Linked DNA regions of Arabidopsis thaliana. The protein of the gene in region 1 interacts with the protein of each later gene in a pairwise test. Each region holds a gene or a part of one and is shown in the gene's direction. Other genes may lie near its edges. The genes, in order: bZIP43, BZIP34 and BZIP61.

What was found.
Region 2: the proteins of bZIP43 (region 1) and BZIP34 interact in a two-hybrid assay, tested with the Arabidopsis thaliana proteins (one study listed by BioGRID).
Region 3: the proteins of bZIP43 (region 1) and BZIP61 interact in a two-hybrid assay, tested with the Arabidopsis thaliana proteins (one study listed by BioGRID).

What each region holds. Positions count from the first base shown.
Region 1 is NC_003076.8:15,537,549-15,540,868, reverse strand, and holds bZIP43 (basic leucine-zipper 43), read left to right. Parts: upstream 1-1,979; 5' UTR 1,980-2,066; coding exon 2,067-2,564; 3' UTR 2,565-2,728; downstream 2,729-3,320. Other genes in the region: AT5G38810 (F-box and associated interaction domains-containing protein), read left to right, coding at 1-263. UniProt on the Arabidopsis thaliana protein: Probable transcription factor involved in somatic embryogenesis. Acts as a positive regulator of BHLH109.
Region 2 is NC_003071.7:17,646,246-17,650,795, reverse strand, and holds BZIP34 (Basic-leucine zipper (bZIP) transcription factor family protein), read left to right. Parts: upstream 1-1,733; 5' UTR 1,734-2,135; coding exon 2,136-2,710; intron 2,711-2,890; coding exon 2,891-2,981; coding exon of another isoform or gene 2,982-3,011; exon of another isoform or gene 3,012-3,095; coding exon 3,096-3,222; coding exon of another isoform or gene 3,223-3,239; exon of another isoform or gene 3,240-3,418; coding exon 3,419-3,591; 3' UTR 3,592-3,911; downstream 3,912-4,550. UniProt on the Arabidopsis thaliana protein: Transcriptional activator involved in the sporophytic control of cell wall patterning and gametophytic control of pollen development. May play a role in the control of metabolic pathways regulating cellular transport and lipid metabolism.
Region 3 is NC_003074.8:21,520,471-21,525,388, reverse strand, and holds BZIP61 (Basic-leucine zipper (bZIP) transcription factor family protein), read left to right. Parts: upstream 1-1,870; 5' UTR 1,871-2,310; coding exon 2,311-2,933; intron 2,934-3,100; coding exon 3,101-3,191; intron 3,192-3,296; coding exon 3,297-3,423; coding exon of another isoform or gene 3,424-3,440; exon of another isoform or gene 3,441-3,723; intron 3,724-3,951; coding exon 3,952-4,100; 3' UTR 4,101-4,415; downstream 4,416-4,918. UniProt on the Arabidopsis thaliana protein: Transcriptional activator.

The sequences.
Region 1 (3,320 bases):
TTAGGTCTGAGAAATTCAAGTTTCTTGATGGAAAAGACTTCTCTAATTTTCATAGAGAATTTATAAACTACAAGGGTAAATTAGGTGTGACTAAATTGGAGTGTGATGCTGGTGATGGACATCCCCGTGAGTTGTGTGTGTGGGTTCTAGAGGATGTTGAGAAACAGGAATGGTCACAGTATATCTACTCCTTGCCGAAGATTAAGGTCAATCGGATTAGAAACGACAATATTTTCGCAATGTTTTTGCCTTTGACTATATAGAGGATCTTAGTATTGACGATTCGAAGCAACTCAAGTCAAAACCACAACAACGTCGACATGTAAAGAACAAGCAGGCAATCCTCCTGCAGAACAAGTACGATTTACTAGGTAACTCAGAGTGAGGATCTTATCTTGAAAGCCAAGCCAACGAGTCAAGCTATTTTGGTTAAGAGTGTTACTTGTCATTTACAGGTTACTTACGTGTGAGCTTTATCACCCTGTTGGCGTAGAGTGAGAGCAAACTAATATTTTTTTGTATGGTTATCAAAAGGCCTATGAGGTTTTACCTAGGTGAAGAGGGCTCTCTATATCCAATAACTTGATTGTTAAGAAACCGATGTGGTCAATGATTGAATAGTTGAATTGTCAGAATTGATGTTAAAACAAGAAAGTCATGTGATATGAATACCACTGTAGATTGATTAGAGATTTGTAGTTCATTTTCTGTTGAGATCTTATGAACAAAGATTTATGCTTTATTAAAACTAAACGAACACATCAAATATGCAAAAGAATTGGACACTTAGCTTCTTAAATTTGTTTTCTCTCAACCTTTTCAAGGTCTCATTCATAGGTCTGTTTATGCTTCTTCTGTTCTTCTTGATGAGATGCTTTCCTCTAGTACTAATTAAGTCCATCACGTAATATTTTTTTTTTTTTCTAACAACACTAAAAAAAAATTAAAGATAATATAAATTTGGATGGTTATAAAAGCCCATATGTTTCTTGGGTTTCAAAAGGTTAAATTTCAAAATCACCACCCTTCCCCTAACAGAATCTAATTACATAGGTCGAACTTTTAGCAAAATACGACGAAAATGAAGAATTACGCATGATTGCTATATGTGTCAATCCGACACTTCTATAAAATATTATATGCTTTAATTACTTTTTTCTAAATGTGTAATTTTACATGTATATATATTAAACCAAGCTTAATATAATAAAATATTTAAAAGATTTTAGATAGAAGTCATTTTCAAAAAGTGGTGGTACGGTATTAGAAAATGGACATTTTGAAATTTCTCCAAACGTTTACTATTTAAGATGAATAAATTATTAAAAAATGATTTAATTCATTCAACTCAAAATTGAAAAAAATTGACCAAATTATAAAAGTAGTTTGTTCAATTTATTTATCTACTATTTTGCAGAAAAATAAGTTGAAAGTTATTTTAAATTTCCAAAAAAAAAAACACAAATTTGTTTCCTAGCCATTGAGAGAAAGAAAAATCTCAATTATTCCCAGTCATTCATTTACACACAACCATTTTCCACCCCAAAAATTCAACCAAGTTCTCATAAATTTTAGATAGGTTTTAAAAAATAAGTTGAAAGATATTTGAAATTTCCACACAACAAAAAAAAAACAATTTGTTTCCTAGCCATTGAAAGAAAAGAAAAACTCAATTAATCCCAATCATTCATTTACAAAGCCATTTTTCACCCTAAGACTTCAACCAACTTCTAATAAATCTTAGACAGGCTTTAAAAAATAAGTTATTTAGATTTCGTTCTAAGTAGTTCAATAATTTTATAGGTGAAAAAATAGATCGTGTTTTTAAATAATAAATAAAGTTATATAAATACACGTTTTAGCTGCATGATTGTTAGATGCTTTTATATTGGTTTGACCCAAATGAAGAAACCATGGTCCACAATTGTCCCCCTACTAGTCTATATGAACACCTCTTCTCACCACACACACCAAACATTCATCACAATTCCCTAAATCCTACAATCTTTCTTTTCTTCCATCACCTAAGAGTAAACCCTACCTTGCGTCCCAAGTCTCCACCGATAATGCAACCATCCACCAACATTTTTAGCCTCCATGGTTGTCCACCTTCGTACCTTTCCCATATTCCTACATCCTCACCATTTTGCGGACAAAACCCTAATCCATTCTTCAGCTTCGAAACTGGCGTGAACACTTCACAGTTCATGAGTTTGATCAGCAGCAACAACTCGACCTCAGATGAAGCAGAAGAGAATCATAAGGAGATAATAAATGAGAGGAAGCAAAAGAGGAAGATATCTAACAGAGAATCGGCAAGAAGATCGCGTATGAGGAAGCAGAGACAAGTGGATGAGCTTTGGTCACAGGTGATGTGGCTTAGGGATGAGAATCATCAGCTGCTTCGTAAGCTTAACTGCGTTTTAGAGTCTCAAGAGAAGGTTATTGAAGAGAATGTTCAGCTCAAAGAGGAAACCACTGAGCTTAAGCAAATGATTAGTGATATGCAGCTTCAGAATCAGAGTCCTTTCTCTTGCATCAGAGACGACGACGACGTTGTATAGATGATTTTTATTTTTATTTTTTTGGGGCTCTAGTATGTATCAACAAATGTATATCCAGAGATCTGTCTCAGCTTAAGATTTAATTAAGACTCTAAATTAGTAATTGTTAAAGCAGAGTTCTTCAAACTTGTGTTGCCCGTGAATAGAAGTAAGAAATTGTTTCACAATTGTTTGCATAACAAACGATAAAAATTCACATTGCTGAAGTATAATTTTAAAAAAAATTACATGCATAAATATTTTTGCAAAATGTAAATACAAGCATCAATTACTAACAGTAGACTTTCTTCTTTTTCTCTTTAAAATTTTACGTTTATAATGACCAATTTTGTTCTTTCTAAATTGGCTTAAGTAGTGTCTTTGAAAAAAATATACACCAGCCGTAAACGGTTTATTTTCTTCCATTTCCATTTGCATTTTTATGTTGAAAAATTATTAAGAAAAGAATTAAGATTGTGATTAAAATAATAAGAATATGAAAAGCAAATACGTAAATCTAACGCAAACAAAAACAATTAAGACCTTACATGGTTGTGTACTTGTGTGTGAAACTCTCGTAAATCTAATTATGTCAAGCAAAGAAGAGCTTTTATCTGTAGTATTTTAGTACCTTGTATTTTATTTTATTTTAGTACCTTGTATTGGTAGTGCATGGACTGAGGTTTTGCAAGATTTGGCTTAGAAAGCAGTTAATGCTATTTTTTAAAAACCTAAATTACACTATTGATTATTGGTAAATCTGTTCAGCGGCATAAG
Region 2 (4,550 bases), on another chromosome or scaffold:
TTTCTTCTTCTCTAGTTCCTCCTGCAGTGAAACAAATTCACAAACACTTCACTTCTCATTGTTCTCAATCACATTGAAACAGTATCAGCTCTCTATTGCTAAGTTTATTTTACCTCCATTTTCTTGAGTTGCACTTCGACAGCTGCTTTCTTCACTTCTCAACGGAAAACTAGTCACATAGTTTAGTTTAAGGTCACCTCTAACGAGTGAAGCAGACCAAGATTTCGCCAGTGCAGATTCTGTAAGAATTTTCATTCTACTAAAACATAAACAGCAATATGCCAAGCCTTAACACAAAGAGTGTCACAGGTAAACACATACAGAGCAAATGCATGATTCTGTCATAAAGCTTCAAATTTAGCTGTAATATATTACCTCCATGGATGTGTATTGAATCGTAAATAGGCCGCTTCTCTCTCGAAACAAGAACTAGCAATGGTAGCCTGATGTCAACGTATGTTGTATGAATCAAGTCCCCAGTGCAACTTGAAGGTAAAAGAACTTCTTCACACTGTTAGGTCGAAAGGTGAAACTTAAAGCTTATGTACTAGACAAGGCGATGGAACTTCTTCACACTGTTAAGGACAGACTTAGAGGTAAAAGAAAAACTTGAGTAGCTCATGGAGTTTAGCTAGAGGTTGGTCGCTAAGATATTTGTAAACTGAAGATGCTAATGGTTATATTAGGGATGATGATCTTGAAGGAATTATTTGGAAATGACATAACAGATGATGTGTGATTTCCTCCTTTAAAACAAAATCGTTTGGTTTTGATAATCATGAAAATATTTCTATGAGATTACTGTCCGACACACATTTAGAGAAATAATTCACTGACTATATATTCCGTAAATACATGTACATATAACTTTCTCAAGTTTGATTTATAATTTTAACATTTCAACAAAACAAAAAAATATAGATTCCGTTAAATATTCCTATCGATCCGGAAAAGTAAAAAATTGGACAGACAAAATATCCAAAATTATACGATTTAAGAGAGAAAAAAAAAGTAGCAAGTGTCCTACATGTGGGTGTGGTCTGGGACAAAGCAAATATAGAGGGGAAAAAAAGAGTACAGAAAACAAATCACATGGACTCACACATCAACATTATACTCTTCACTCTCTCTCCACTCGTCCACTACCCTACTTTCTCCATGCATTGTTTAGCCCTCCTCATAGCAGTGATGGTAACAAGATAATCCATTACCATGGTGAAAGATATGTGATAAATAAGCTAAGTCGTCGGATTTGTTTTCCAATAAATTAAGTCATGTTTATCAACTCGACTTAATTCTATTATTCTATATATAGATGATACTGTGTGCTATTAACTCATGTATTCATTGTACTTGCTTGACGTAGGTTTACATGTACCAAAATTATTAATTGACACATATGATTTGCAACAAATACGAGATATTGCATTTACATGAACCTATCGAAAAACCATTCATAAGAAAGAAACGTATTAACCATTCAACAAAAGAAAGGTCACAAGAACACGTGCTTGCTTGATTCCTCCTCCAAATCTCTTTACATAGATTAAAAAGAAAAAAACCAGTGGAGGAGAATTTCCAGTTATACCGTTGAGACCTTTAGCCTCACTTCTCAAGACAGCTGTTTCATAGCTGTCCGATCTCAATATCTCCCTCCATGTGGCCCTACTCAGAGAGATAAATTAAACACTTTGATCACATCGAATTTATTATGTTCTTTCATAAGATTTTACATAATATATATCTCATGTATATATATATATATCTCTATTTATCTCCTTCATTAATTCTGTTTTTTTACTTCCTTCTATTTATATAACTATCATTTGTTAAACATAGCCATTTTGGTTACTCTTGTTCCGTTTTCTTCTTTCTTCCTCTCCTTCCTTTTTTCTTTTCTCTATCTTCTTCATATGGTTCATGACATTGATCTAATTCCACTTCCCATTTGTCTCCACATTTCGTTTCTTTCCTTTGTTTTTTCATCTAGGTTTTTGGTTTTCTGAATTGGATTTACGTTAGTTTATCTTGTACTTATTAATTAAGGTTTTTTTTTTTTCCTTCCTCAATCCTGTAAATTCAGATTTGCTTTCTTTGGTAATCTTTTGGATCAAGATCCATCTATTTTTTCTTCAATGGCACAACTCCCTCCTAAAATCCCCAACATGACACAACATTGGCCTGATTTCTCTTCCCAAAAGCTCTCTCCTTTCTCTACCCCAACCGCAACCGCTGTCGCCACCGCTACAACCACCGTACAAAACCCCTCATGGGTCGACGAATTCCTCGACTTCTCAGCGTCTCGCCGTGGCAACCACCGTCGTTCCATCAGCGACTCTATCGCATTCCTCGAAGCTCCAACAGTCAGCATCGAAGACCACCAATTCGACAGGTTCGATGACGAACAGTTCATGTCGATGTTCACCGACGACGACAACCTTCATAGCAATCCTTCCCATATCAACAACAAAAATAACAATGTGGGGCCCACGGGATCTTCCTCGAACACATCCACGCCGTCCAATAGCTTCAACGACGATAACAAAGAATTACCACCGTCCGATCATAACATGAACAATAATATCAACAACAACTATAACGATGAAGTCCAAAGCCAATGCAAGATGGAGCCAGAAGATGGTACGGCGTCGAATAACAATTCCGGTGATAGCTCCGGCAACCGGATTCTCGATCCCAAAAGGGTTAAGAGGTAACAAAATTATTCAAGAACATGCATGCACGTAAAAATATCAACTCATCAGATTTGATTACGATGCACCAAATATTTTGAAAAATATGATTACTGAAGATTAGCGTCACATCACTAACCATATAATGTTTTTTAAATTGTTAACAAAAATAAAATAAATATTTCTGAATGTTTCTACAGAATATTAGCAAATCGGCAATCAGCACAGAGATCAAGGGTGAGGAAACTGCAATACATATCAGAGCTCGAACGTAGCGTCACTTCGTTGCAGGTACATTATACAAACATTCATAAATCATAATCTTTTAATTATTCAAATAATTTCATGATTATAAATTTATTATGACCTTAAATCATTTTTGTGGCAAAAAAACTGAAATTAAAGGCGGAAGTGTCAGTGTTATCGCCAAGAGTTGCATTCTTGGATCATCAACGTTTGCTTCTTAACGTTGACAACAGCGCTCTCAAGCAACGAATCGCTGCTTTATCTCAAGACAAGCTTTTCAAAGACGGTATTAATCTCATGTAACTTTTGGATTTAATTCTCATGTAAATTTTTTGGATAATTATGGAATTAATATATGTGTGTTTATGAGATTTTTCATTTTCTCGTCGATGCATTCAATTATCACTGACAATATATGAGCACGCCCAATAATTTTCTCTCACTAGCTAATATAACATCAAAAAACTAATATTATTTTGCAGCACATCAAGAAGCATTGAAGAGAGAAATAGAGAGACTTCGACAAGTGTATAATCAACAAAGCCTCACGAATGTGGAAAATGCAAATCATTTATCGGCGACCGGAGCCGGTGCTACTCCGGCCGTCGACATCAAGTCGTCCGTTGAAACAGAGCAGCTCCTCAATGTCTCATAAATTAACCATCATGCATCATCATCAACATTTCTCTCTTTTAGCTTCTTGGCAAAAGTTCTTGACTATAAAATCTCTTTCGGGTAAGAAATTCAGGAGATATACATTTTTTATTCTAATCACATTGTTTTTAAGTTGTGATGAATTCAGTTTGATGTATCTTATTTATTTTGTTTATGTCGTCTTTTTTTCTTGGGGTTGATGGAAGGGAATCATCAATTGTTGTTTGTACAAAGAACTAGTTGAATTTTTTTTTTTTTTTTTTGGGAAGTGTACAGAGATTTGTGAACTAATTAAGATTTATTCGGAATACAGTAGTTTATTTTCCATCATTGTCTACTCTAAATCATATTTCTTCTCGCATAACATTATATTGATTTTAATAAGACAGATTAAACAAGAACTATGGTTAATTCACTAAAAAAATAGTCTCTATCTCTGATTATTTCTATTCTAAAGTGATCTAGAGTATCAACAAAAATAATTGTTTTGAACGGCTAAAAGTAATCTATAGCTATTAAACGCCTGTTTACACCCTTTTTCTGTCTCAACGGTTTTTAAAAATAGTAGTATCAACATAGGAAAATGTCATTTAACGACATTGAACTATTTTAGGTAATAAAACAACAATATGTTGACGTCATACAGAATCTAGATGGTAAAATCATATGGTACATCCACTCACGTAAGAAAAAGACAAATGAAGAAAGTATACAAAAATGTACTGTGGTCTAAAAATAAAGAAATAAGTAATAGCAGACCAAAACTCTGGGATTTTTAATAATCACTGATATTTGGTAACTTTTGTGATCGTTTATGTTTAGGAGTTACCATGAATAATAGCCGTTTAAGTATATTGTGGTCGATAAGAAAAAGCTTATGCAGTGAAAATGAAAGAAGAGAAAAGAGAAACGCGTGTGGACACATCTTGAAAGGCTTAAGCTTATTCACGTGATGTGTTC
Region 3 (4,918 bases), on another chromosome or scaffold:
TGAATTCGGGTTAACCCACACTTGACTAACAAAAATAACAATTCTATTTCTCTATATGGCTCAGTTATTAGCTTTTTTTGGCTTTCCATTTTCACCTTTTAATTTGAACTGAAATATTTGATACCACACTAAAATATCTCTCTTTAACTAACCATATGGTTATATACTACACTTTGCAACTAATTGATAACTATATTTATTTTAGTAGTTTTATTTTCGTTGTACCAAAGCCGTCCAATACTAATTGATTAAACTGTTATTTCAGTTTCTATAAGTTCTCGTTGAATCCCTTAAACTTGTAGCTTTTTTATTTGTTTTTGCCGGGCTTGTTGTAGAAATTTCGAAGATTGGTCTTATGTAGAAAATTAAAGAGAATATTCTTAGAGTACTTTGTTAGAGGACCACCATTGATGTTTGGATTGTTTGTAGTAAATATTGTATTAAATTGAATTGTATATTTTAAATAAATAGTGAAACAATAGACAGTTCACAGTTGGAACATAAACTAAGAAATAATTTCATACGTTCTAATATATATATGCATACAATTTTGTTTTAACGTAACTACTTGTATTTTAACATATATACATAATAGCAAAAATATTCTTAATCAAACCAAACTTGTCTTACATATTTTTTATTTTGTCATCTCATTAATCTATTTTTGAAAAGTTTGTATTTGTGAGATTTCTATATATTTTTATGGATATACAAAGTGAATTTAATCCAATAAATGATCTTCTGTTATAAAAACAATGAATCAAATGGATTGGCCTACATGAAGCTTTGGTTTGGGGACAAAGAAAATATAGAGAGGGAAAGGTCTCACAAGTCACAAAATATTATACAAAAAAATAAAAACAAAGCACATGTTCTGACACATGAACATGGTTCCTTCTTCACTTCTCCTTTTCTTTCTAACAGCTCATTTCTCTCTATCTCTCCACTCTTCCACTACTCTCAGCCTCCCACTCAATTCATTCTTCTCTTTCCCTTGCATTTTATAATGCTTTTTGCCTTTTTTTCCCTTATATTAGCATTGCATTGTCATAAATTCCTATGTATATGTTACAACTGATGATTGATTTTCTTGTTCTTTAATTGTTTATAGTATATATATAGAGCTAGGGAGCTAATTTATGTATATATGTATAGACATGGCTTCTCTATAAGCTTAATTGTACATGTGAAGGACAGAAAGAGAAGTGTATTAATTGTATTGGACTATTCTTTCTTTGTCATTTGATAAAGTGGCCACTCTTATGCTATCTACTCATTAATGTCCATACACACTGACTCCTAAACTTACGTATGATGATCTTTGCATTTACATGTATAGTAATCCTGCATGCGTTAAACTAGTTAAACAAGAGTAAAAAAGTTGTGTCTGCTAGACAATGACTCAAATGATAACATTTTAACCAAAACATTTGCTCACCTCCATAAGAAGTTGAATGTTTCGATAAAGCTTATATAGGTTAAATCTTAAAAAGTTAGAAACTAGACTTAATTACAAGTGTTTCTTGAATCGATTAGTGGTATATATACATAACATTCATATGATTTCCATATAATTTAAAAAGAGGAAATACGAGAGGGCATCCGGTAGCATCTGCCCAAGTGTCAGCTCGCCGGACGGCCAGAAAACAAGGCGGGGGAAATGATCAAACGGCGGAGAAAGGAGGAGAGAAAGGCGGGAGCATGTGGAAGAGCAAAACATAAGAATGTTTCCAAAGGATAAATAATATCATACACTGTTTTGAAAAGAAAAAGTCTCTCTAATAAAATAAGTTTAGCAAAACAAAATTAAGGGAGAGGGGTTCACTAAGAGCACGTGCTGCCTGATTCTCCATTTGCTCTTAAGAGAGACCTCAAATCTTTTTAATTTTTCTTCCGAAACAGCTGTTTCATAGCTGTCCGATCTCTCTCGCCCCCCATGTGACCCCACTCAGAGATATAAACCCTTTGAGATCGAATCCATTTATATAATTTTATTTCGCTTTATTCTATTATAAAAATTATCTTATCTCATGCATCCCTCTCTCTTTCTATCTCTTACTTCTGTTTTGTATAACTACTCTTTGTTATACATAGCCATTTTAGTTACTCTGGTTTGTTTCTCATCCCATTCTCTCTCTCTTTCTCTAATGGTTCTTAATCTGTTTTAGCATTTTGATCATCTAAAACTTTCAATTTCTCTCTTGATCCTCACTTGAATTTTTTGTTGTTTCTCTCAAATCTTTGATCCTTTCCTTTGTTTTTCATTTGACCTCTTACAAAAAAATCTGGTGTGCCATTAAATCTTTATTAATGGCACAACTTCCTCCGAAAATCCCAACCATGACGACGCCAAATTGGCCTGACTTCTCCTCCCAGAAACTCCCTTCCATAGCCGCAACGGCGGCAGCCGCAGCAACCGCTGGACCTCAACAACAAAACCCTTCATGGATGGATGAGTTTCTCGACTTCTCAGCGACTCGCCGTGGGACTCACCGTCGTTCTATAAGCGACTCCATTGCTTTCCTTGAACCACCTTCCTCCGGCGTCGGAAACCACCACTTCGATAGGTTTGACGACGAGCAATTCATGTCCATGTTCAACGACGACGTACACAACAATAACCACAATCATCATCATCATCACAGCATCAACGGCAATGTGGGTCCCACGCGTTCATCCTCCAACACCTCCACGCCGTCCGATCATAATAGCCTTAGCGACGACGACAACAACAAAGAAGCACCACCGTCCGATCATGATCATCACATGGACAATAATGTAGCCAATCAAAACAACGCCGCCGGTAACAATTACAACGAATCAGACGAGGTCCAAAGCCAGTGCAAGACGGAGCCACAAGATGGTCCGTCGGCGAATCAAAACTCCGGTGGAAGCTCCGGTAATCGTATTCACGACCCTAAAAGGGTAAAAAGGTAATTAACATTTTTATTTACTATTTCCCAAAACCCCAAGGAAGGTCATGCATGCACGTACAGTTTATAATAGTATCTGATAATTCGATACACCGTTTTTATAAAATAGTTAAATTAGTGTCACATCGATAAAATCTAATTTTTGTTTTTGCTGAAATTTTCTACAGAATTTTAGCAAATAGGCAATCAGCACAGAGATCAAGGGTGAGGAAATTGCAATACATATCAGAGCTTGAAAGGAGCGTTACTTCATTGCAGGTAATTAATTTACACACAAAGATATACTATGTTTATTAATGTAAAACAATCTAAATAAAAAGTTTAAATACTGATCAACAAATCATTTAAAATTGTGGAATGAAGACTGAAGTGTCAGTGTTATCGCCAAGAGTTGCGTTTTTGGATCATCAGCGATTGCTTCTCAACGTCGACAATAGTGCTATCAAGCAACGAATCGCAGCTTTAGCACAAGATAAGATTTTCAAAGACGGTAATTTTCTATTTTGAACTTTTTTTCAATTTTCTAACATTGTATAAAATTCTTCTGAATATATTTTTCAGGGATACTATCAAACTATAGAAATTTGTTTGTTTTTTTTTACTATTATTGTCTGAAGTTTCACTAGCTCCATGTATTTAATAGTCACTGACAATATATAGGCTCGACCAATAATTATTCTTTAGTAATATAAACTATATACAAGGAAGTACTTGCGGCAATGCATGCTTCATGATTCATAAAATTACAAACATGAAATATATATTGTCCTGCTTGAATAGATTTAGTAAGGTTTATATATATCTATAGCTAATTATTTTATAACATGGATCTAGCTAGTAATAATGAATCACAAGATCAATAGAGTTTAGTATGATTAATAAGTTAGAACAACTGTCCATGTGTGAACATATATATGAGATAAGTATAGATATTTATGTTAACATGAAACATGTGAGTACTCATTGAATATTTAGGTTTATTGACAACACTGATAATTGTAAATTTTAATATTTTCAGCTCATCAAGAAGCATTGAAGAGAGAAATAGAGAGACTTCGACAAGTATATCATCAACAAAGCCTCAAGAAGATGGAGAATAATGTCTCCGATCAATCTCCGGCCGATATCAAACCGTCCGTTGAGAAGGAACAGCTCCTCAATGTCTAAAGCTGTTCGTTCACTAAGATCTTTCTTTTCATGGCGAAAAGATTCTTGACTATAAAACCTCTTTGTGTCAAGAAATTAATTTATCAAAGAAGATGGCCTTTTTTATTTGATCTAATCACATTTTTTTAAGTTGTGATGAATTTGCTTTTGATGTATCTGTTTTTTTTTTTTTTTCTTATGGAGTGGGAGGGGGAAAGTGGGAATGATATGTAAAAAGAACTTAGCTGATTTGTTGTTTATTCAATTTTTTTGTTGGAGTGTCTATGCATTGTGTACTAATTGATATTTTTTCCGAATGATTTTTTTTTCCATCAAATTTAGGGTAATCGAATAGTTAAAGATTCCCTCTTTTCACATGGTTCAAATTTTGATGTGTGCCATCATCCATATAATAAACAAATATAACAATTTATATACTTGTTTAACTTCTAGTGACAAAAAGAACAGGATTTGTGAACCATGAAATGTTAACACATAGTTTCAAAATTTATATTTGAAGTGACTGAAAGCGATTTCTCATTCCTTAAAAACTCGTACGATTATTTCATTGTTAAGAAAAAATCAATTAATTATGATGATTTAATAATATTTTAACCTCAGGTTTTTTTCATTTTTTGTCCTTCGAAAAAATCAAGTGAAAATGTAAGGTATTACTAGCTAATGTAGCCACTTCCTTACGTAGGGCCTGGACATTTAGATGATGTCATATAGAATCTAGATGATATATCAATATATACATATATCAACGAATACAAACACATCACGAATGTCATACATTGTATAATTACAGACAAAGAAAACAAGATTAGTGAGTTTTA